Linked DNA regions of Canis lupus familiaris. The protein of the gene in region 1 interacts with the protein of each later gene in a pairwise test. Links are inferred from orthologs where the notes say so. Each region holds a gene or a part of one and is shown in the gene's direction. Other genes may lie near its edges.

What was found.
Region 2: the proteins of IPO13 (region 1) and PAX6 interact in a two-hybrid assay, tested with the Homo sapiens proteins (2 studies listed by BioGRID and IntAct). The link is inferred for Canis lupus familiaris from reciprocal best matches to the Homo sapiens genes IPO13 and PAX6.
Region 3: the proteins of IPO13 (region 1) and PITX1 interact in binary tests that used the Homo sapiens proteins (3 or more experiments, as listed by UniProt). The link is inferred for Canis lupus familiaris from reciprocal best matches to the Homo sapiens genes IPO13 and PITX1.
Region 4: the proteins of IPO13 (region 1) and PBX4 interact in binary tests that used the Homo sapiens proteins (3 or more experiments, as listed by UniProt). The link is inferred for Canis lupus familiaris from reciprocal best matches to the Homo sapiens genes IPO13 and PBX4.

What each region holds. Positions count from the first base shown.
Region 1 is NC_049236.1:16,405,346-16,410,868, reverse strand, and holds the start of IPO13 (importin-13), read left to right. Parts: upstream 1-1,889; 5' UTR 1,890-2,518; coding exon 2,519-2,602; intron 2,603-4,324; coding exon 4,325-5,061; intron 5,062-5,523. UniProt on the Homo sapiens protein: Functions in nuclear protein import as nuclear transport receptor. Serves as receptor for nuclear localization signals (NLS) in cargo substrates.
Region 2 is NC_049239.1:36,061,484-36,065,244, forward strand, and holds part of PAX6 (paired box gene 6), read left to right. Parts: intron 1-344; coding exon 345-427; intron 428-661; coding exon 662-812; intron 813-911; coding exon 912-1,027; intron 1,028-3,761. UniProt on the Homo sapiens protein: Transcription factor with important functions in the development of the eye, nose, central nervous system and pancreas. Required for the differentiation of pancreatic islet alpha cells.
Region 3 is NC_049232.1:23,085,833-23,091,411, reverse strand, and holds the start of PITX1 (pituitary homeobox 1), read left to right. Parts: upstream 1-1,818; 5' UTR 1,819-1,910; coding exon 1,911-2,076; intron 2,077-4,312; coding exon 4,313-4,545; intron 4,546-5,579. UniProt on the Homo sapiens protein: Sequence-specific transcription factor that binds gene promoters and activates their transcription. May play a role in the development of anterior structures, and in particular, the brain and facies and in specifying the identity or structure of hindlimb.
Region 4 is NC_049241.1:44,059,940-44,065,456, forward strand, and holds the start of PBX4 (pre-B-cell leukemia transcription factor 4), read left to right. Parts: upstream 1-2,216; coding exon 2,217-2,368; intron 2,369-2,453; exon of another isoform or gene 2,454-2,472; intron 2,473-4,281; exon of another isoform or gene 4,282-5,517.

The sequences.
Region 1 (5,523 bases):
AAGGATTGCCCTATTTCCCCTGGCTCGAGACCCCTGCGGCAGAGTGTCGGTGCGCTGGCCGACTCCCTGCGGTCTCCTCCAGAAAAGGAGAGGCTGGGTAGAAAACTGAGGGATCAGAGAAAAGATGTTGGAGAGTCTGTGCCACATGAGATCCCCTTTATTGTTCACAGCAGTGGTTCTTAACCTGTTTTGGGGCTGTAGAGTCCTTAGAGAATCTGATAACAGCCAGGGATTCTCTCCCTGCGCCCCACCCCCATGATGAAAAGACCATTCCTGCAATTTATCCTACGTCCTACAGATAGGTATTTGTTGAACTAGATTCCCACAGGATTTTGCTTCCGCACTTAATCAAGCTCCCCACCTCACCAGCGTCTCTATTCTTCAAGCTCAGACTAGGTTTCTCCTCCTCAGGGGAGCCTACACTCATCGTCTTTGGCCTTAGCAGCTATTGCCAATGTCAGCTTCTTCCACCTGAATCCAGGTACAGAGGTCCTCCTTTCCCTTTTATTATTTTTTTCCCCTGCTGGGATAGCTGGCAAAAGTTAATAAAAGGACAGGGAGGACAGGGCACCTGGTGGCTCAGTCAGGAGCGAGCATGTGGCTCTTGGACTCAGGGTTGTGAGTTTGAGCCCCACGTGAGATTACTTAAATAAATAAACTTTAGGGGCCCCTGAGTGGCTCAGCGGTTGAGCGCCTGTCTTTGTTTGGCTCAGGTAGTGATCCTGGGGTCCTGGGATCGAGTCCCGCATCGGGCTCTCTGCAGGGAGTCTGCTTCTCCCTCTGCCTATCTCTGCCTCTCCGTGTCTCTCATGAGTAAATAAATACAATCTTTTAAAAATAATAAACAAACAAACCTTAAAAATAAGAGCTAATAAAAGGACAAGTGGAAGTTTAAGGGGTAGGGGCTGCTGGGGTCTGCTGGAGCCAGGTCTGTGGCTGGTCTCTGCTACACTAGCTGTGTCTCTGGACAAGGCAAGCTGAACGAACCTTCCCCAACCTCGGTTTCCTCCTCTGAAAACGGGGACTAAAAATCCCACCCGAGTTGTCCAGAGAATCGGACCTAAGGTGTGCAAAGCACTGTTCCTAGCACTTAAATGTGAGCTCTTCTTACTCTGATCACTCATAAAAGACAAGTTGCTTCCCAGCGCCTCCCCAAGTCTCCGAGTACTGTCCATGGTAAGGGGTTTGCCGGTGGCTCCCCGGGCAGTCCCGAGAGCCGTCCCTTCCCGTTCCAGCGGCGCGCCGAGCCCCCCCGCTTCTCTGGGCGGGGCGCTGCCTCCTCCCCAGAACCCTCCTTCCTGCGCCCCAGGTGGCGGCGGCCGCGCGGCACCGCAGTGACCTGTTTCTCTCCGCCAGCCCCCAACACGCACCTTCATCCACTGGCCCGGCTTCGCAGCTCCGTCCACCAGCCCCTCCGGTCACGCCCTCCTCGGGAGCTGCTCAGCGGCGCCGCCCGCGGGTCCGACCCCGCGGCCGGCAGCAGGTCCGCGCAGGCGGGGCTCCCCGCGGGTCCCCAGCCCACGTGCTCCCGACCTCTGCCGCAAGGCGCCGCCCTCCCGCTGGGCGCAGCGCGGACTACATTTCCCAGAGCACTCAGCGGCGGGGCCTTGGCCCAGCGGGGGCCTCGAGCGGCGCGCCGGTCCGCCGCCTGCGCGGGGGCGCGCGGGCTGGCGCGGGGACGGGACCAGGGACCCGGAATGAGTTTCCGCGCAGTTCCGCTGTGCCGGGCCGGGCTGGGCTGTGCCGGGCCGGGCCGGGCCAGGGCAGGCGCGGGGGGAGGGCGGCGCCTGAGGCGGCGGTGCGGGGGACAGGCGCCGGGGGCAGCCCGCGCCTCGCTGAGGTCCCCGCCCCGTCCCGGCCGGGCCGGCTCGCCTGTCAGTCACTGGGGCGGCGGCGGCGGCGGCGGCGGTAGCGGGGCCGGAGCCGGGCGGAGGGGAGAGCGCGGGCCGGGCCGGGCGGAGGGGACCTGCCACCGCCCCTCAACTCTACGGACTCTTCGCCGCAGACTCGCGGGGCTGCAGCCCTGCGCCCCGTCGGACGCCTCCGTAACCCGCGGAGGGCTCGCTCCGCCGTCACCCCCGCCCCGTGACCTCCTCGCAGGACCCGGCAGCGCGCTCACACGAGGGTGTTGTGGGTACAGGCCGTCGACCCTGTGACCGGCCCGGGGCCCGGGGCTCGCCCCCCACCCCGGCCTGCCTTCCCAGGGACTCCTGCCTCGTAGATTGTGGGCACAGACCCGTGACCTGCCGCCGACACCCCGCCTGCGGACTCTTCACTGCCGGCCCCTCCCCCAGGCCCCCTCGGTTGGCCTCCCCCTGCGAACACCCCTTTGGGCGTCTGGCAAGCCCCCCATCCCCGCCCGAGGTGGGGCGGCCTCGGCAGCCATGCCCGCCCTGGGCCCCCTGGCACCCCGCCGCTTCCTGGGCACCCAAGCCGGGGTCTAGCAGGGGGCCAGCAGCCAAGGGGCTGGGGCCGGAGGCAGGTCGGGATCCAGCTCCCTGCCGGGGAGGGAGCAAAGATGGAGCGGCGGGAGGAGCAGCCGGGGGCTGCAGGGGCTGGAGCAGCACCAGCCTTGGACTTCACTGTGGAGAACGTGGAGAAGGTACGAGGGCCCGGGGGTGGGCCGTCTGGTGACAGAGCAGAAGTCCTGGGGCCCGGCTCGGATGCCAGAGCCAGGCTTGGGCCGGCTGCCTGCTGGGCTGGTGCCCCAGGGCACCTGGCACTTGCTGCCTCTCTGGGCAGGGCGGACAGCAGTGTGGTGGCCTCCGAATGGGCTATTTTTGGCTTTCCTTAGATATGGGTTCCCTGTGGCTACTCTAGGGTCTTGGGATGGTCCCTCCAGGGTGCGGGTAGCCCAGACCTACAGCCAGCCTGGCTGTCCTCCAGCTCCATGGGAACTGCATGAGCAGCGCAGTAGGAACCCGGGAGACCTACAGCTCAGTCCCCGGGAACCATACAGATGCTGAGCCATCCTGGACCTGTGTTGTGACCCAGCGGCTCAGGAGATAACCCGAGACTGAAACAGCCTGGGCTGTTTTCCCTTTTTCTTGGGGAAGGGTCCTTCTTGTGTTGGATGGAGGCCAGACCAGTCCTGGGCAGGCAGGAAGGGCTGGCCCCCTTTGTTTTGTGCTGGGTCCAGGGGGTTCAGTCCTGCTGGCAGCTTCAGGGTCCCTTCCCTGCTCTCCTGCCCACACAGCCTCCTGTCATGGCCTCCCCAGGCTCTCCCACTGCCCAGGCCGTCTTCTTTGAACTGTTTCTCTGGCTCTTTACTGTGTTCTGCCCCAGGGGGGCCTGGGATGCAGAAATGCCTCCCTGCTGGGATGAATGGGAAGATTGGGGTACCACGCAGGAAAGCAAGGAATGGTTGCAGATACTCATTTGTTATTCTTGAGCCCTTTTTGCCATACCACATGATGGGAATGCATCCCTTCTGCCTTGCTCTGCCTGCCTCAGCATCCCCGAGGGGCCAGACAAGGGACAGTAGCTGTAACTTGCCATCAGAGGTATGGATATGGCTAAGCCTACATAGATGGATCCTGCTTAGGGAGTCAGAGTCCTGACCTGGCTGTTCCACCCCCTGGGACTGGGCGGTGTTGGCATGGTGGCGCTCTCTTCCGTGTGCTACCAGGGAGACAAACCACTGTGTTCTTGCTGTGTGAAGTCCCTGTGGAATTGGGACCCTGGAGATTTGGCTAGTTGAGAGCTCCAGACAAGACATTTGCCAGGGCTCTCGGCCAAGACTTCTTCACTAGCTTTTCGGACCCTCACGTGTGCTCTCTGAGGGGTGTCCTCACCCTCCCTTCCAGTACGTCTCTGGCCTACGGCCGCCTGGCAAAGTCTTAGTCCTGCTCAGATTTCACACTGGCTTTGGTGCCAGCATCTGGAGTGACCTAGAGATGATGGGAAGCTGAATAGGACTCTTGGAGTTGATGGGAGCAGCTGTGCCTGGGAGGGTCACAGCCCCTCAGGCTGTTCCATGCTCTTTTCAGGCTTAGCTTCATCCCTTTGGAGCCATTCCTTCAACCTGGGCCTTATCCTTTACCTCAGGTGCCTCCCCTTTGGAGAGCTCAGCCTCCGCTTTTTCTGCTTTTTTATGGAGGTTCACTCTCTGGCCCATAGTGTTTTGCTATAAGAAGAAGAGAATATGGCAGAGCGTGGGCAGAGTTCAGGCTCTCAAGATGTCAGTAGGACCCTGGGCCCTTCCTGCTGAGCCCCTCGGTCAGAAACAAAGAGCAGACTTGCAGGACCAAGTCATGCCCTCTGTTCTGGGCTCTGGCAGGACCCAGAGTGGTCAGCACTTGCTCAGTCCTGTGCTGTCCTGCAGGCGCTGCACCAGCTCTACTATGATCCCAACATTGAGAACAAGAACCTGGCTCAGAAGTGGCTGATGCAGGCCCAGGTCTCCCCACAGGCCTGGCACTTCAGCTGGCAGCTACTGCAGCCCGACAAGGTGCCTGAGATCCAGTACTTTGGGGCCAGTGCCCTACACATCAAGATCTCTCGCTACTGGAGTGACATTCCCACTGACCAGTATGAAAGTCTAAAGGCACAGCTCTTCACCCAGATCACCCACTTTGCTAGTGGCTCCAAGATTGTGCTGACTCGGCTGTGTGTGGCGCTGGCCTCCCTGGCTCTCAGTATGATGCCTGACGCTTGGCCATGTGCTGTCGCAGATATGGTACGGCTCTTCCAGGCTGAGGACTCACCGGTGGATGGCCAGGGCCGCTGCCTGGCCCTACTGGAGCTGCTGACAGTGCTGCCAGAGGAGTTCCAGACAAGCCGTCTGCCCCAGTACCGCAAAGGCCTGGTGCGGGCCAGCCTGGCAGTGGAGTGTGGGGCTGTCTTCCCATTGCTAGAGCAGTTGCTACAGCAGCCCAGCTCACCCAGCTGTGTGCGTCAGAAGGTGCTCAAGTGCTTTTCCAGCTGGGTGCAGCTGGAGGTACCACTGCAGGACTGTGAGGCGCTCATTCAGGCTGCCTTTGCTGCTCTGCAGGACTCGGAGCTCTTCGACAGCAGTGTGGAGGCCATTGTCAATGCCATCTCGCAACCTGATGCCCAGAGGTGAGCTGGTCCCCATCTTCCCAGAGAAGGACAGCTTGTTTGGCCATCCATCCATCCATCCATCCATTCAATAAACACTAATTGAGTGCCTACTGCATATGCGGTCCTATGCTGGAGATACACAAGGAGGCAAACAAGACACGGTCCTTATGGTTCAAATAGGGAGACAGACAACTAACCATCCAACGAATTATTCATTACAGTATTTGACTCTTTCTTCTTTTTCTCTCAACCAATCAGTCGCCAAGTCCTGGCTGTTCTGCTCTTGACCATATTGCAAATCTATTTTTTCCATCTCCACTGCCACCACCCTAGTCCAAGCTGTCATCATCTCTCTCCCCAAATTACTGCAGAGCTTTTTCACTAGTCCCCTGGTTTTTACTCTTGTACCCTTTATTGTACACCCAGCAGCTGGAGTGATCTTTTGGAAATGAGCGAGTTTGTCCTTTCTGTTCAGAACTC
Region 2 (3,761 bases), on another chromosome or scaffold:
TCCTGGGCATCTTTTCAGTGTGTGTGTGTGTTTTCTTTCTTCTTTTCATGTACCAGTAATTCAAAGAGTGAGAGTCTGACTTCTCATAAAGAAAAAAAATGATGATTTGGCTCATTCAGGCCACTGCAGGGTCCTCGAATGAATGTCATTCCAAAGAAAATTTAACTTGGTTCGAGTGGGATAGCTCTTTCAAGCATCAGTCAATGCCTGGACTAGTAGCATTTGTAAGGGGATTGGTTGGAGGTGACAGAAATGGGGAGGTGGGAACCAGCTTGATCTAGGGCTTGGTTGACACATTTTGTGTCGTTCTGGCGCAACACGGAAAACTCAACTTACTCTTTCAGAGTTTGAGAGAACCCATTATCCAGATGTGTTTGCCCGAGAAAGACTAGCGGCCAAAATCGATCTACCTGAAGCAAGAATACAGGTACCCAGGGACCACGTGGTGTCATGCTTTGTGACTCCTACCATTTGCCCTTTCTGGAGACAAAGGTGCTTCCGAGGAGCACCATTCATTTATATAAACAGTAGAAGATTCAGTCTGCTAAATGATTTGCTGCCCCTGGGGGACTGGTCCTGGGGGTGGGGAGGGGTGGAGGTGCCAGGGGGGAGGTTAAGCTGGGAGTAGGCAAAGGCCTAACCCCTTCCATCTGATTTCCAGGTATGGTTTTCTAATCGGAGGGCCAAATGGAGAAGAGAAGAAAAACTGAGGAACCAGAGAAGACAGGCTAGCAACACACCCAGTCACATCCCCATCAGCAGTAGTTTCAGCACCAGTGTCTACCAACCTATCCCACAACCCACCACGCCTGGTAATTTGCATATTCATTCTCCTCCTACTAAATGTGTCTAACCTATTTGTCCTGGCTCGGACTTTCAGCATGATTGTCTGTACTGTCCTTCTCCTGCAGTTTCCTCCTTCACCTCTGGCTCCATGTTGGGCCGGACAGACACAGCCCTCACAAACACGTACAGCGCTCTGCCGCCCATGCCCAGCTTCACCATGGCGAATAACCTGCCTATGCAAGTAAGTGAGGCCCCTGGCTGGCTGTGGAACGGCCCCGGAGAAGCGAGGAGTGGGTCAGGGCCTGCAGACCTCACTGGCCATGCATACGCCCTCGGGAGCCTTTCTCACTGCGGTGATTGGCCTCACCAGTCAAGTTTTAACACTCAGTCCAGTCTTTGAGCTGGATTGATGGATTGACTGATGCATGCTCTGAAAAAACCCATAAAAACCAAGTTAATCCGCCTCTTGCTCAGAGAGAATGGTAGCTTCATAATGTTGGGTGGGGATGGGGAGTGTTTTGGGTACCGGTGAAATTTGTACCAGAAAGCAGAAACAATGCTGGCACATTATTGGATAGTAAGGGGTTGATATACGTAAATCTGGGTTTTATTAATATGTTCATATTAATGAATACATAACTGGTGTATGCATTTTGGATATTATTTAGAGTATATGTGATAAACTAGGGAGGAAGGAGAAAAGGATCAGAAATAAGATTTATATTTGCATCGTAGGATATACTTTAATAGGGAAGAACAATGAGTTTTCTCTCTGTATCTTACAATAAGAAAAGGGATAGAGGTATTTGCTAAAAGTTTAGCGTGTCTTTGTGACGTCATTACATAAATGATGTAATGCGTCTGTGGCACTCCTGGCTGCCTGGCTGTGTTGATGTTCTTCACTTGGTCTAACAAACTGCCTCTATTCTCAGCTCTGTGGAGAATGCTTGTCAGCTCCTCTGCATGCAAGGCCCTGTCCTGGGCTACTAGCCCTTTCTGATGGAAGTTGCATGAGGCAGGTGGGGTTGACTACAACTTTGGAGGGGGATGGATTCTTGATGGAAAAAAACAAACAACTGATCTTTTGGTGGGCCTTCTATAAAGCAGGGCCTTCCATGGTGACTTTCCCAGGGCTCCTGTTTGTGCAGTACCTGGAAGGTGCCGGATGGTGAGAGACTGGCCAGCCTGAGCCCCTGCTGGAAACAGTGCTGGGGTTCCACAGACTGTTTACTCACCACTGAATGTCTTTTGACGAATTTAAACTCCAGATAACAAAGAAACAAAAAATAGATGTTTCACAGTCTTCAGACTAAAATAGGAGCAGCTAGGGAAGCAACTTCAGAGGAATTATTCACATGTTGATTTTTATTGCATCTGGATATTAACGGCCATAGATCAACTAATATATGTTAAGGAATTAAAGGCCCATTGGTTGGTGTTCCTGCAACTGCTTTGGAATTTTCCAGAAGCCAGGTTGCTTCCAGGAAATGATTTTGGGAATTAGCAACAAATGCAAGCTGAAATACTGGCAGGGCCCCAAAGGCCTGCTTGCCTCTTTGAACCTGATGTTCACAGTCGTCCTCTGACTAGAATAAGGCAACTGAATGTCTTGTTTGGTCTTGCAAATTATGGCAGCATCTTGGTTTCTGCCAAGACAACAAAATTTGTATGTGAGAAAACACTTAGAAGCAGTTACATAGGTGCTGCCGCTCTACTAAGGTCGTTTCCACCTATAGACTGGTGTGGGGTCCACCTATTTCAGATGCTAACTTTTGAAAGTTACACAACTTATCTAAAAATAAAACGTAAGAAAATGAAAAAGTTATTAGTAATTCCACCTTTCAGAGAAAATGTACTTTCTGAATTTTGGATTTGGGGGGCGGTGCTGGTCTGTCTGTCCATCAGTTCATCCTGTTAACCAAAATCTTCGACCATTTTGCAAAGGGTAGGTGTCTTCCTCTGAACCTTCTCTAGTGTGTCCCCCTTTCTGAGATGGTGAATCTTGAAAAGTTCAACATTTCTGCAGTTTGCAGAACAGAGTAGTGCTATCATCTCCCTTCTTCCTGGCATTAGGTTTCTATTAATTCCTCCAATCTTGCTGGCCTGGCATAGCTCCGTGTGAGCTCCTGAGGGATTTTTGTCTCAGCTCTGTGTATCTCTTATTCACCTAGGAGAAAGTGAATTAGAAACCTCTTTAATGTCCCCAGTCCAGACACTTAGAGGGTAGTTTACGGATAAAACCGAAACTGGGGGGATCCCTGGGTGGCGCAGCGGTTTGGCGCCTGCCTTTGGCCCAGGGCGCGATCCTGGAGACCCGGGATCGAATCCCATGTCGGGCTCCCGGTGCATGGAGCCTGCTTCTCCCTCTGCCTGTGTCTCCGCCTCTCTCTCTCTCTCTTTCTCTCTCTCTCTCTGTGACTATCATAAAAAACAAACAAACAAACAAACCCAAAAAAACCGAAACTGGGCTTTTAGATCTATAAGGAAGTCACAGCTAATTTTTAGGAGAGGGCTAGATGTTTACTGACACTTCTGACCATTTTAATCTGAGATCATTACTGATCTGCCTCTTTAAAGAATCTTTAATCCCATAAGTCCAACCATGAAAGGCTCCCAGGGACTCTGAGCCTACTTTATAGAGAACTCTTCCCACAGTTCTCTGCCCAAAGCTTGAGATACAGGATTTGGGGGTCAGTAGATTCCCAAATAGATTGGATTTGCAGGAGAGGAGGTGTGTTTTAATGCAAGTCCTCATGCTCTAGCTTCTCTGGAGATGCCAGCAGAGGTCCAAGATGAAAGTGGACAAAAACCGTATTAATTTTATGGGTAGTGCCAACCATCTGGCTAGACAGTTGTCTGAACGTATAGTCCTTTTAGGCAACTTCACCCTAGCAGTGGGCAGTGTGGAAGGACTGGTTGGGGGCCCGATCATCAGGCTATCATACTGAATATACGAGGGCGTCTTCAATGATCAG
Region 3 (5,579 bases), on another chromosome or scaffold:
CCCCAGATCCTCACCCCCAAGCAGAGACACTCCCTCCGCCCCAGGAAGAGATGAGGATGCACTGGGCCCTGTGGTGAGGCGCTGCACCTGGAGAGTAGAGCAGTGCTTCTCCTCCGGGTTACTGTCCTGCCCAGCGCTACTCCTATCTGGGGGAGTTGGTCAGCAATCGAGGGGCGGAGGGCAGCCTGGGGTCTAGCTGTGGCCAGAGGCACGGGTCAGGGTCGCACCCTACCACCCTAGCTGCCGTCTATTTATTCAAGACTCTGAGGTCTCGGGGCTGGTTAACAATTGTTCGGCAAAATCCTTCAACAAACTTCACTGTCATAGGAGGATTCCAGAAGGGGATCATTCTCAGAGGTGGGGAGGGGCCGGGCGGTGTCTGCCCCCAGGAGGCCTCGGCGGTGCTGCCGCTCAGCTACTGCTGTGTGAGAGAGAGAAGCTCAAAGGCGGTAGGCTTCCTGGACTGCGGACTCCGGGCTGGGAAACTGCAGGCACCTGGCCTGCTCGCGAGGCCAGGTGCCTGCAGCTCTGGAAAGCCCAGAGGAGGCCCCAGATCGCTACAAACCTGCCCTGAAGGGGGCAGAAGCCAACCCCCTGGCTGCCAAGGCCGGGGCCTGGCTGATTCGGCTGGACTGGTGCAAAACAAGGGAAGAGAGCCCTGCAGAAGAGGCTGTGGGGCCTGGCGGGGCTCTCGGGGTCTCCTGCTGCACTCGCCAGAGGCCTGGAGCCAACAGAAACGTTTCGTCTGATTAGAAGCCATCAGTTCAATCCCAATCCCGGAAAATTGACTGCGGTGCAGAGGGGGAGGCCAGAGAAGCAGCCTTGGACGACAGGGTCCAAGCTAATTAGGAGGCAGCATCCGGGGGCCCATTAGAACGCAGGCTGCTGTCACTCAGCCGGGCTCAGGTCCCGGGAGAAGAGGCCGAGGAAGGAGGGGCCAGCGGCCCCCCGACGGGGACGCCGCCGGGAGCTGCCGGAACGGGCCCCGGGCTCTGCCCCCGCCCTGGCGCTGGCTCGGAGGCGCCCGCTCCGTGCGATCCTGCCCCGGGAACATTCTCTCGTCCTGGGCTGTTCTCGCCGGGGGCTGAGGACTTCGAGGCGGCCCAGACAGGAGTTGATTCTGCGCAAAACAAGTCATCTGGGGCTGGAGGTGGGCACGAGCCGCGCGGGACTTGGAGACCAGATGCGTTTCTTTTGTGCGGCCGAGGGAGAAGTCGGTGTGTCAACGGGGAAGGAGGGAGCGGCGCGGCGCGGCGAGGCCGCGGGGGGTGGGGGGAGGGGGCGGGAGGCGGCGGGAAGGTGGCTGCGGCGGGGGAGGGGGACGGGAGGGGACGGGAGGGGGAGGGGGAGGGCACGGCCGGGGGAGGGCGGGCGGCTCGGGGCCGGATTCCGCCCGCGCTCCCTCGCTCGCCGGCTCCCTCCCTCCCTCCCTCCCTCCTTCCCTCCCTCCCTCCCCCCTCCCCAGCCCCCTCCCACCCGGGCCCACCCCACCCACCACCCCTGGCGCAGGGACTGCTGGAACCTGGCGGTGCGCGCTGTCGCTTTAAGACAGCCTCTGCCGGCGCCGTACGGAGCCTTAGAAACCGGCCCCGGATCGGGAGCCGGAGCCGGGGCCGGGCGGGCGGCAGAGGCCCGAGCGGCGGGAGCGCAGCGCGGAGCGCGAAGCCGGGGATCCGGTCGCGAGAAACCGCTGCCGCCGCCGCCCGCCCGGCCCCGCAGCCCCGGGCGGTCCATGGGGCGGGCGCGGCGTCGCTGCGGGCCCGGGCAGCCCTGGGGGGCAGCCGCTTAGGCGCTGTGCTCTTGTCCCCGCAGGTCGCAGCCAGGGCGGCCGGGCGCGCCCGGCCCCGGCCCCGGCCCCGGCCCCGGCCCCGGCCCCGGCCCCGGGAGCGCCCGCCGCGGTCCCCGCCTCCATGGACGCCTTCAAGGGGGGCATGAGCCTGGAGCGGCTGCCGGAGGGGCTCCGGCCGCCGCCGCCGCCGCACGACATGGGGCCGGCCTTCCACCTGGCCCGCGCCGCCGACCCCCGCGAGCCGCTCGAGAACTCCGCCAGCGAGTCGTCCGACACGGAGCTGCCAGGTAAGCGCGGCTCGGCCCGGCGCGGGGCGGGGAGCGGGGCCTGGCGCCCGCGCCGCACGCTCAGGTTGCCCGAGCCCCGCGAGCTCCGGGACCTCTTCTCCCGGCCTCCGTCGGACCGGGAGCGCGGAAATCTGCGCGCTTGATGAGACGGAATTCCGTGCTCTGCTCCCAGCCGGTGCCCACGCGCCCAGACCCCGGCAGATGCAGGCACCGACCACGGGAGGGTCGGCCCGACAGCCCCTCTTGATCGGGAGCAGACGGAGCCGGAAGAAAAAGAATTCGGTTTGCGCAACGAGTGCCCAGGGGGCCGCTCAGACCGCAGGACAGTAGGTGGAGAGAGGAACGGGGCGGCGGGCGAGAGACGCTGCGCAGGGAGACGGGGTCACACACCCCGACAGGCGGTGGGCACGGATGGAGAGGGAGAAATCCAAGAGAAGGGGTGGCGGGAAAAGTCAGAGAAACAGACTGCGGGGAAGGGGGGACCACCTCAAGTAAAAAAAAAGAGGGCAGCGAGGGCGAGCGGGCCAAGAGGTGCGGCTCAGCTGGCGGGCAGGCCCCCCTCGTGGAGGGACCCGGGAGCCGCCAGGCCGCCCGGCCAGGGCCCGGCTCGGCTGGGGCGCGTCTCCCTCCGCGCCGCCGTTTTGCCCCCCGAACTCAGGCTGCTCCCCCGCAAGCTGGCCGCGAGCGGGGCCGGCGGGTGGGCGGTGCGGGCGGTGGCGCGGCGGATCCTCGGCCGCTCGCGCCCCCGGGTCTCCCGCTCGGATCCCGCGCTCCCCGTCCCGCCGGGCGCCCTGTTCCCCGGGTCGTGGGCGCCTCCGCTGTGCTTTTTTCTTAATCCACCGCTGAGTGTTTCTCTACGCGTTTTTAATCTCTATTTGTTTCTGTTTTGCATCTCTAAGTGACTTTCTCTGAGAGGTTCTGTTTGCTTGGCTAAGAAAAGCAATCCACGCTGGACTGTACTTTTGTTTTCAAAAGTTTGAAGCGTGGCCTTTGGTTGGTTTTTACTTTTTAAAATCTGGAGAAATATACAGCGAGCGATTGCTTTTTAAAACCAACTCCGTGAGGATATATTAAATTTTTTAACTGTGTTTTTCGATATAGAAAGAATCACTACGCGAGGCATATTTCTCTGGAATTTAAAACATCCACATGCAGCATTATTCTTGGAGATTTTTAAAAGTCAATCCAAAATGGCGCGTTTCTCCGGGATTTTTTTTTTCAAAATCCATTTGCAGCAGTGTTAGTTTGGTAATTTATCTAACTATAGTGTTGTATTTCCCTGCGACTTAAAGACTATCCCTAGAAGGGCATTATTAGGAAGGGGCTAAAAAAAAATCTATCTACAACAGTACATTAAGTTGTTTTTTTTTTTATCCCGGAGAAATAAATGCCCGCGTCTGCCTGGAGTTTATACGCGTACAGCACTGTATTTAGTTAGGGGTCTGTTTGCACGGAGGTTTCTTGCTTCTTAATTTGCATTTGCTCTGTGTTCCTACCTGCCTATTTTTAATAGTTTGTGAGCCTTTCCATGGTGTTGGGATAGAATTGAGTTTATCTGGGCTTCTGTATTTTGTTTTTAATTTTTTTGTTTGTTTGTTTCAATGTGTCTATGACTGAATGTGTTTTGTGTACCCTGAGAGAGCGAGAGGCTAGAGCCCCAGGTCACCTAGACAGAGTGTGTGGGTCTGGGCTGCCGCCTGAGGGCTTTTCTGGGCCTCTGGACTTGAGGCCTGGAGCTAAGGCTGAGAACACAGCTGTGTTGTGCCTGCCCAATGTGGCTCCCACACAGCCCTGGGGAGAAGAAAGTAGAGGGGCTGCAGGTTACCGCCTGGCTCCTGCTCCACCGACCCACTGGCTTCAGGCTAGCCAGATTTGATATCAGTTCAGAAGAGCAGAGACACCCCCAGATTTAAATGCCTAAAAGCCCTCAAAATTTCATACATTTGCGGGCGACATAGGCAGTAGGGCTTGAGCCTGAGCCGAGCTGCAAGGGCAGGCCCTGCCCAGTGGGGAACCTAGGCCGGAGCCTCGGGTTCCCTGGCTCTTCGGGGCCGTCCGACCAAAGGTGACTAGTGAGGATCAGGCACCCGACAGGCTCTTTCCAGCGGGAACAAAACTAGGGTTCCTGGCGGGAGGAAGGGCCGCCAGCGCTGATGGCTGGCGCTTCGGTGGAGCCGGGACGGGGTGCGAAAGGGCATAAACCCAAGGTGACTAGGGCCTGTCCTGCCCGATTCAGAGAAGGAGCGCGGCGGGGAAGTCAAGGGGCCGGAGGACAGCGGTGCGGGAGGCGCAGGCTGCGGTGGCGCGGAGGACCCCGCCAAGAAAAAGAAGCAACGGCGGCAACGCACGCACTTCACAAGCCAGCAGTTGCAAGAGCTGGAGGCCACGTTCCAGAGGAACCGCTACCCCGACATGAGCATGCGGGAGGAGATCGCTGTGTGGACCAACCTCACGGAGCCGCGCGTGAGGGTGAGCCCAGCGTGCGCGCCCAAGGGGACCCGTGCGGACCGCTCCTGGCCGGCTCTGCCGCAGCCCTCCAAAAGCTTTAGACCGGCGCTCAGACTTTGTCTCCGTCCCACCACTCTCCACCGGAGAGGAGGATTCAGCTTTAGGCCCGGGTGTTCCGGGTGTTCCGGCGGCTCCTGCTGTGCCCTTTGGTGGTTAGAGCCTTCGGCGGCTGTCGCCTGGCCTATCCTAGTGACCCTCAGGCTCTACTGCAGCCTCACCCCAAGATCTGTGGCCCCATGGGAATTTCCCCTGCCCTGCAGGGCCCAGACCCCATGCGGATGTTAACACCCTAGACTGCACGGAGGATTCCCCGCCAAGGGGGCCCTCGGAGCTGCGGGCCGCCTTCCCCCAAAAACGAAAGGGAAAGGCAGGTCTTGCCTGGCAACCTGGCAGAGGCCTGAAGGGTACCTAGGCTTGCAGGTCTCAGAACCTCCTGGGGCAGTGGTCCCAATCATAGCCTGCTTCTGCAGAAGCTCAGCACAGTCCCCACCTGACTGGTCTCCAGCCAGTCAGCCAGTGAGTAGCTGGACCCTTTCCCTGTTGCCCTTTCCTATAGGGCTGGGGTCAGGTGAAGGAGGAGCAGCTCTGGTGGAAGAGTGACCCTCAGGTCCAGTCCCTTTGGAGATGTAAGATCTCTGACCCGTGGTCAGACTGCACCCTCCCTCTCCTTGCTCTTTTTGGTTTCCAGTAAAAGCAAGAGAATAGAGGTTCTCTTGCCAGAGCCACAAGAGTATCATTTCTTCTCTGAGTGCGCAAATATTTAAACAGATAACTGGGAGGACGTCCCAAGCCAGCCCAAAGTGCTACCTGGCCTACTGACTCCCTGCTATAACCCCAGTTCTTGCCCCCTCCCATCAGGCTGGCCAGCCCAGTGGGACACGAGTGAAGACAGCACTCAGTAATCCTGTACTCACTAATCCTGCCCGGGTTTATGGTGGTAGGGGTGGTGTGGGGGTGGAATCAGGCAATGTCAGTGCGGGGAGGATTGGTAAAGG
Region 4 (5,517 bases), on another chromosome or scaffold:
AATCTAGTCCTATGTTAAATGGGGCTGGCTTTCCCTTTGGGAAAACTCCCTTTGTCCTAAGACAGCTCTGTGAGGAGGCAAGAATGAACTGGGTTGCTGGGAACTTCAGGGTCCAAGGTGGGCAGTACATCTTCTAGGGCCTGAGGCCAGAATCTCCAGAGATGGTGAGCCAACCAAGTGCCTTCCACCATGGATCTGGGCACAGGACCATAAAAGATACATTCCTTGCCTCCATGGAGCTCTAGGACTATTAGACAAACATGTCCCTTTGGGTGTCAACACCAATTCCTATAGGGTGGAGAGCCCAAAGGTAGCTGTGTTTCACTTGCTCTTGCATCAGCATCCCCCAGTTCTAACCCATAGTCCTCTGGTCTCCTTTGGCATCTTGTCCCATTGGTTTTTCTCTCTCTTGTAGGTCTCTCTTCCCTTCAACCTTTGATCCCTAAAGCTTTCAACCCCCTGCTTCCACCACTGTTCTCTGAAAGACACCAAAATTACCCATAACTTAGGCTTCCTGTGTAGGGCTGCACTAGCTGCTGAACTTTTGTGCAGGGCAACAACCCTCCATGGTCCCCACAAATTCTAGTACTTTCTCTTATTGGGACCCAGTGTTGAGTTTCCTTAATCAGAGAGTGCTTTTTTTTTTTTTTTTTTTTTTTTTTTTTAAGATTTTATTCATTCATGAGAGATGCAGAGAGAGAGAGGCAGAGACATAGGCAGAGGGAGAAGTAAGCTCCCTGTGGGGAGCCTGATGTGGGACTCGATCCCAGGGCCTACCCCCCATCATGACCTGAGCCAAAAGTAGACGCTTGACCACTGAGCCACCCAGGAACCCCACCAGAGAGCTTTTGAAGTGGTTCCTAACACCAGCCTCTATCATTCATTTCCATTCCCTGCTGTCTTTTTTGGAGTCCTCCAATCCAATCACACCAGATGGTGTTTGAGTTTCCTCTCCAGCAGCAATGGGAAGAAGGTGGGCCCTACCCCAAAGGGTTCGCAGAGAGGCTGAGGACCTTTATGAGACTGCGTCTGGAATCTGTCCTCAGAGCAGAGGCTCCACCAGGTCCCAGTGACTTTGGAGAAGTGATTCGTGTCCAGTCGGTTCCTTTTCTCTCACTCGACGATCCTTCTCTGATGCAGTGAGCACTAATGGCTAGAAACCAAGACTTGTGGAGATTCACTGTTACTTGGGGTACACCTCAGAGGAGACCCTCAGGAAGCATCCTTCAGTAGTTCAATAAGTCTGCTTGGGTGTTCTAGGGTCAGATTGCAGTTGATGGAGAGAATGGATAAACCAGAGGTCATTTATAAGCTGGACCTTGAAAAGAGAATTGATTTGTGTAGCAGAGAAAAATCTCTCCGTGCAAATCTTCCAGCCACCATCACCACACACAACTGCACCCCTCGTCAAAAGCTCCGGGGAGAGGGGGGTAGAGCCAGGAGGTCGGGAGCCCTAGGGACCCACCTGATGGGGCGGAGACTGAGGGGACCCTTAGGGTACTGAGGGGGGGCCTGGGTCTCAGGGCTTCTGAAGATGGTGGGTTTTGGTGGGGATCTGAGAAATCTCAGGATTTCTGAGAAGGAAGGGGTGGTTTGAAGGAGGAGTGGGGTTCTCTGAAAAGTGGGGACTGGGAAGAGATGTGGGTTCCTGAGGAAGTGGGGGCATCTGAGTGGAGACCTGTGAGGAGTGGGAGCTCTGCAGGGGAGTAAGGGCTCTGCGGCGATGTCGGCGGGGGCGGTGGACTCAGACTTGAGGGTCTCTGAGAAAATGCGGGACCTCTCCGAGGAGGGGCAGGGGCTCTGAGGAGACGTGAGGGCCCCAGGAAGGATTAAGGTCCCTAAGCGGGAGTCCTTGCTCTGAGCTGGTGAGGAAGGCGGAGAGCTGAGGGGTGGAAGGAGGAGGGTGTGGGTGCGAAGAGCCGTTGCCTCGGCAACTCCCAGCCGAGTCCTGGGCCGCTGAAGGGAGCTGTTGAGGGCGCGTCTGTGGGCGGGGCGCGGCGGCCCGGGCGGCGGCAGTTGGCTGGCGGAGGCGGCGGGGCGTGTCCGTGGGCGGGGCGCGGCGGCCTGGCTGGCGGCGGTTGGCGGGAGGCAGCGGCGAGGGGTGGGGTCTGGGCGCGCGCGCGCACAGCGCGCGGGGGGCGGTGGTTGGCTGCGGCGACCTGTGAGCGCTCCAGGCCCGGCGGCACCGTGTCAGCGCCGGCCCGGCCCCGCCGCCCATGGAGTCCCCTCCGCGCCCGCAGCGCCCCGCGCCGCCTCCCCCGGCCCCGCGCCGCCCGCCGCCCGGGCCCCCGCCGGGCCCCGACACAGGCGAGGTCCTGCAGCAGATCATGGCCATCACCGACCAGAGCCTGGAGGAGGCGCAGGCCAGGTGCTGCGCGGGCTCGACGGGGGCGGGGGCCGGGGCCACCCAGAGTGGCGGCAGAGAAGGGGGCGGGCCCAGGGGCCAAGGCCAAGTTGACTGGAGGCTGAGGGGTGAGGAGGGTGCAGGGTGAGAGCGTGAGAGGGGAGATGTGGGGGCTCGGGGAAGCTGAGGGGGGCCGGGTTCTGAGGCCGAAGGGATTTATGAGGTTAAACTGCGACAGATTGAAAGGCTTATGGGGCTAAGCAGCGGGTGATGGGTTTTAGGGGCCCATCCTGGGGTGAGAGGGATGGGTTTAAGGGGAGTTTGTGGATGGGGAGGTATATGGTGAAAGGCAGTTTGAGGCTTATGAAATGTAAGGGTTAAGAGGAAAGAAGGAAGGTGTAAGGGCTGAGAGATGGGATTTGTGAAGGATGGACAGCTAAATGGATGCATTAGTGAGACTTCTGAGGTGGGAAGTTTTGAGAGAGATGATGGAGAGTGAGTTGTGGGCAGTGGGACTTACGGATGAGGAGATGGGGGTGACTTGGTGTGGGAACCATCAGGAAAAAGGGTTAGTGGAGGAGCTGCTGGGTGGGGATGGAGGGCCGCCTTTTTATTAACTCAGCAAATATGCATTAGATACTGTGTGGGACACCCAGCTGGGTTGCTGACACAGTCCCTTCTCTCAGACTCCTAGTAGTGAGGGAGAGAAAGTAGCAAAAACCAAGTATACATTGTGAGAAAAGCTCTGAGAAAAGGGATGGCATGCTATGGGAAGTCAGGTGTTGAGGACACGGCGCTTTCGGGCCCCCGGGAGCGGGAAAGAGCTGGAAGAGAAAGCAGAGCCAGAGACTTAAAATCCCAAGTTCAGTTTGGGGAGGGGTTGGCACCAGACCACACAGGACCCACAAGTCTTAGGAAGGAGTTTGGATTTTATTTCAATTGCGCTGGGAAAAACCATAGCAGTTTTAAGACGACCTGTCCTACTTGCTTCCACCCACCACTTGTCAGCCAGCCAGGAACAGTAGAATCGGCTTCACAAGGCAACCCATTGTGTTGGGGGCCTGCTCAAATTATTGGAAAATAGGAAAGGACCAAAGTCCTTTTGGAGGATGGGGCCTATTTGGGTGTGAAGGATGGTCCCTGGGGCTGGGACTAGGGTCTGGTGCAGTCGCTAGAGCCCTCTAGTGAGGAGGGGTTATGTCAAAGCCAAGTGAACAGCAGCCACAGGAAGGAGGAGGCAAAGAAAAGATGGATTCAGCATGCATTTGTTCTTCTCACTTTCCTTTGCTTCTTGTGGATTGTCCACTTTCTGCAGTTTCATAGACTCTTTCTGGAAAGTTAAGAGTATTATTATCCTCCTCCCTTACTATGTTCATTCTACGTTTTGGAGCACTGTGCTAGGTGCTAGAGAAACCAAGTTGGCTAAGATGTTCTCTGCCCTCTCAGACATCATTGAAAAGTGGGGTGCGTGGGAGACTGATTTATAAATAGTTATCATAATAAGTGTGTGCTGACTAGAGGTGATTCCTGGCACCAGGGGAAAAAAGAGATGGGCCTAGAGAGGGGGTGCCCTGTGTGATACCCTGTCTGCTAGACTTGTCTGAGAGCAGGGGCTTTGTCTTATTTTCCTTTGTATTCCCAGGACTATGCACAATGCCTGGCACCTATCATGTAGTAAAGTTTGTGGCACTTCAGATTCTGGAAGGATTAGGAGGAGCTGGGGAGGGATCCCTGGGTGGCGCAGCGGTTTGGCGCCTGCCTTTGGCCCAGGGCGCGATCCTGGAGACCCAGGATCGAATCCCACATCAGGCTCCCAGTGCATGGAGCCTGCTTCTCCCTCTGCCTATGTCTCTGCCTCTCTCCCTCTCTCTCTCTCTCTGTGACTATCATAAATAAATAAAAATTAAAAAAAAAAAAAAAAAAAAAAGGAGGAGCTGGGGAGATGGAAATGGGCTCTTCACACCCAGGAATCACAGAGACAGTGCTTTGGGTGTTTATGGAGCTCCCAAGTTCTTTCTGTTCTAGGTAGGGAGCTGCTTAAGGAGTTAGCTCTGCTCAGGTGTGGCCTTCCTCAAGCATCTGTCACCCCATTACAACCCCAAGGTGCACTCTTCTTCTTACAGCAATCCAGTACTCCCCTAGATAGACTTTAGAATGGTGTGCAGTCAGTGACCTCTTCCTTGCTATTCTTGAAGACAGCTTTTTCTTTTTCTTTTAAGGCTAGGACATTGAATAGTGGAGCATTATACATGCATGACAACGTGGTTATTAGGTAGCTGGTTCCTGGTTTCTTTTTGAGGTAGAAAGGCCCCTGGGGCTTTTATTTTGAGACTTAGAAGCTTCAGATCTGCCCCCCTTCTTTGGATATAGCTCTAAAAGCCACCCAAGTTCAGACAACAGTCTTCAGTCCTCAGGTGGATCACTTACTCCACTCCAGGCAGATAGCTTGGGTGGGTCTTTTCCTCATAGTAAAACTTTGCAGCCTGGTAGATTATCAACCTGGGAGGGGGAGCAGATTGTGTCTGTCCTGATCAACCGACTGGGTGAGGCTTTTGCAAGTCTTTCTGCCCCTGCCCTTTCTTGGTGCACCCTGACCCCTTCATAGCCCTGGAGTCAGTTCAGCTTAACTGTCTAGCAAGAAAGAATTTTTCATCTCACATTCAAGGCCCTTTCAAACTATTTTGTCACCGTAAGCGTGCTTAAAGAGGGAAAGCACACCTATTCTCCTTAAACCAGAATTCTTACTTACACCTTTCTGCATTATTTGGAAGGCATCTCCAAGTGCTTGTGCATGATTCATTTTGTCATGATAGTCTTGGAATAGTGAACTGTATATTGTTCTTCCTTTGGGCTACACAGTGGACTGTAAGGGACTTTGGAATATTTCACTTTAGTTTAGATTCAGCCCAAGTCAGCTGAAGACTTCCTATGTGAGGGATAAGCAGTCTTCTTGAATGATCTTCTGACCTTCAGCTATACCCTAAGCTCTTCCTGGAGAAGGTACAGTTCTGCATTTTCTGATTTGGAACCATTCCCTGATGATGAGCTCATCCATTTCTTGTATGAGACAAGTCAGGCAGGAAATTTTATCTCATTTGCCAAGGATTGTCTGAGTATTTTGCTCTATCATGCATAGCCTTGTTTTTTTATAATAATAAATTTTACAACATTTT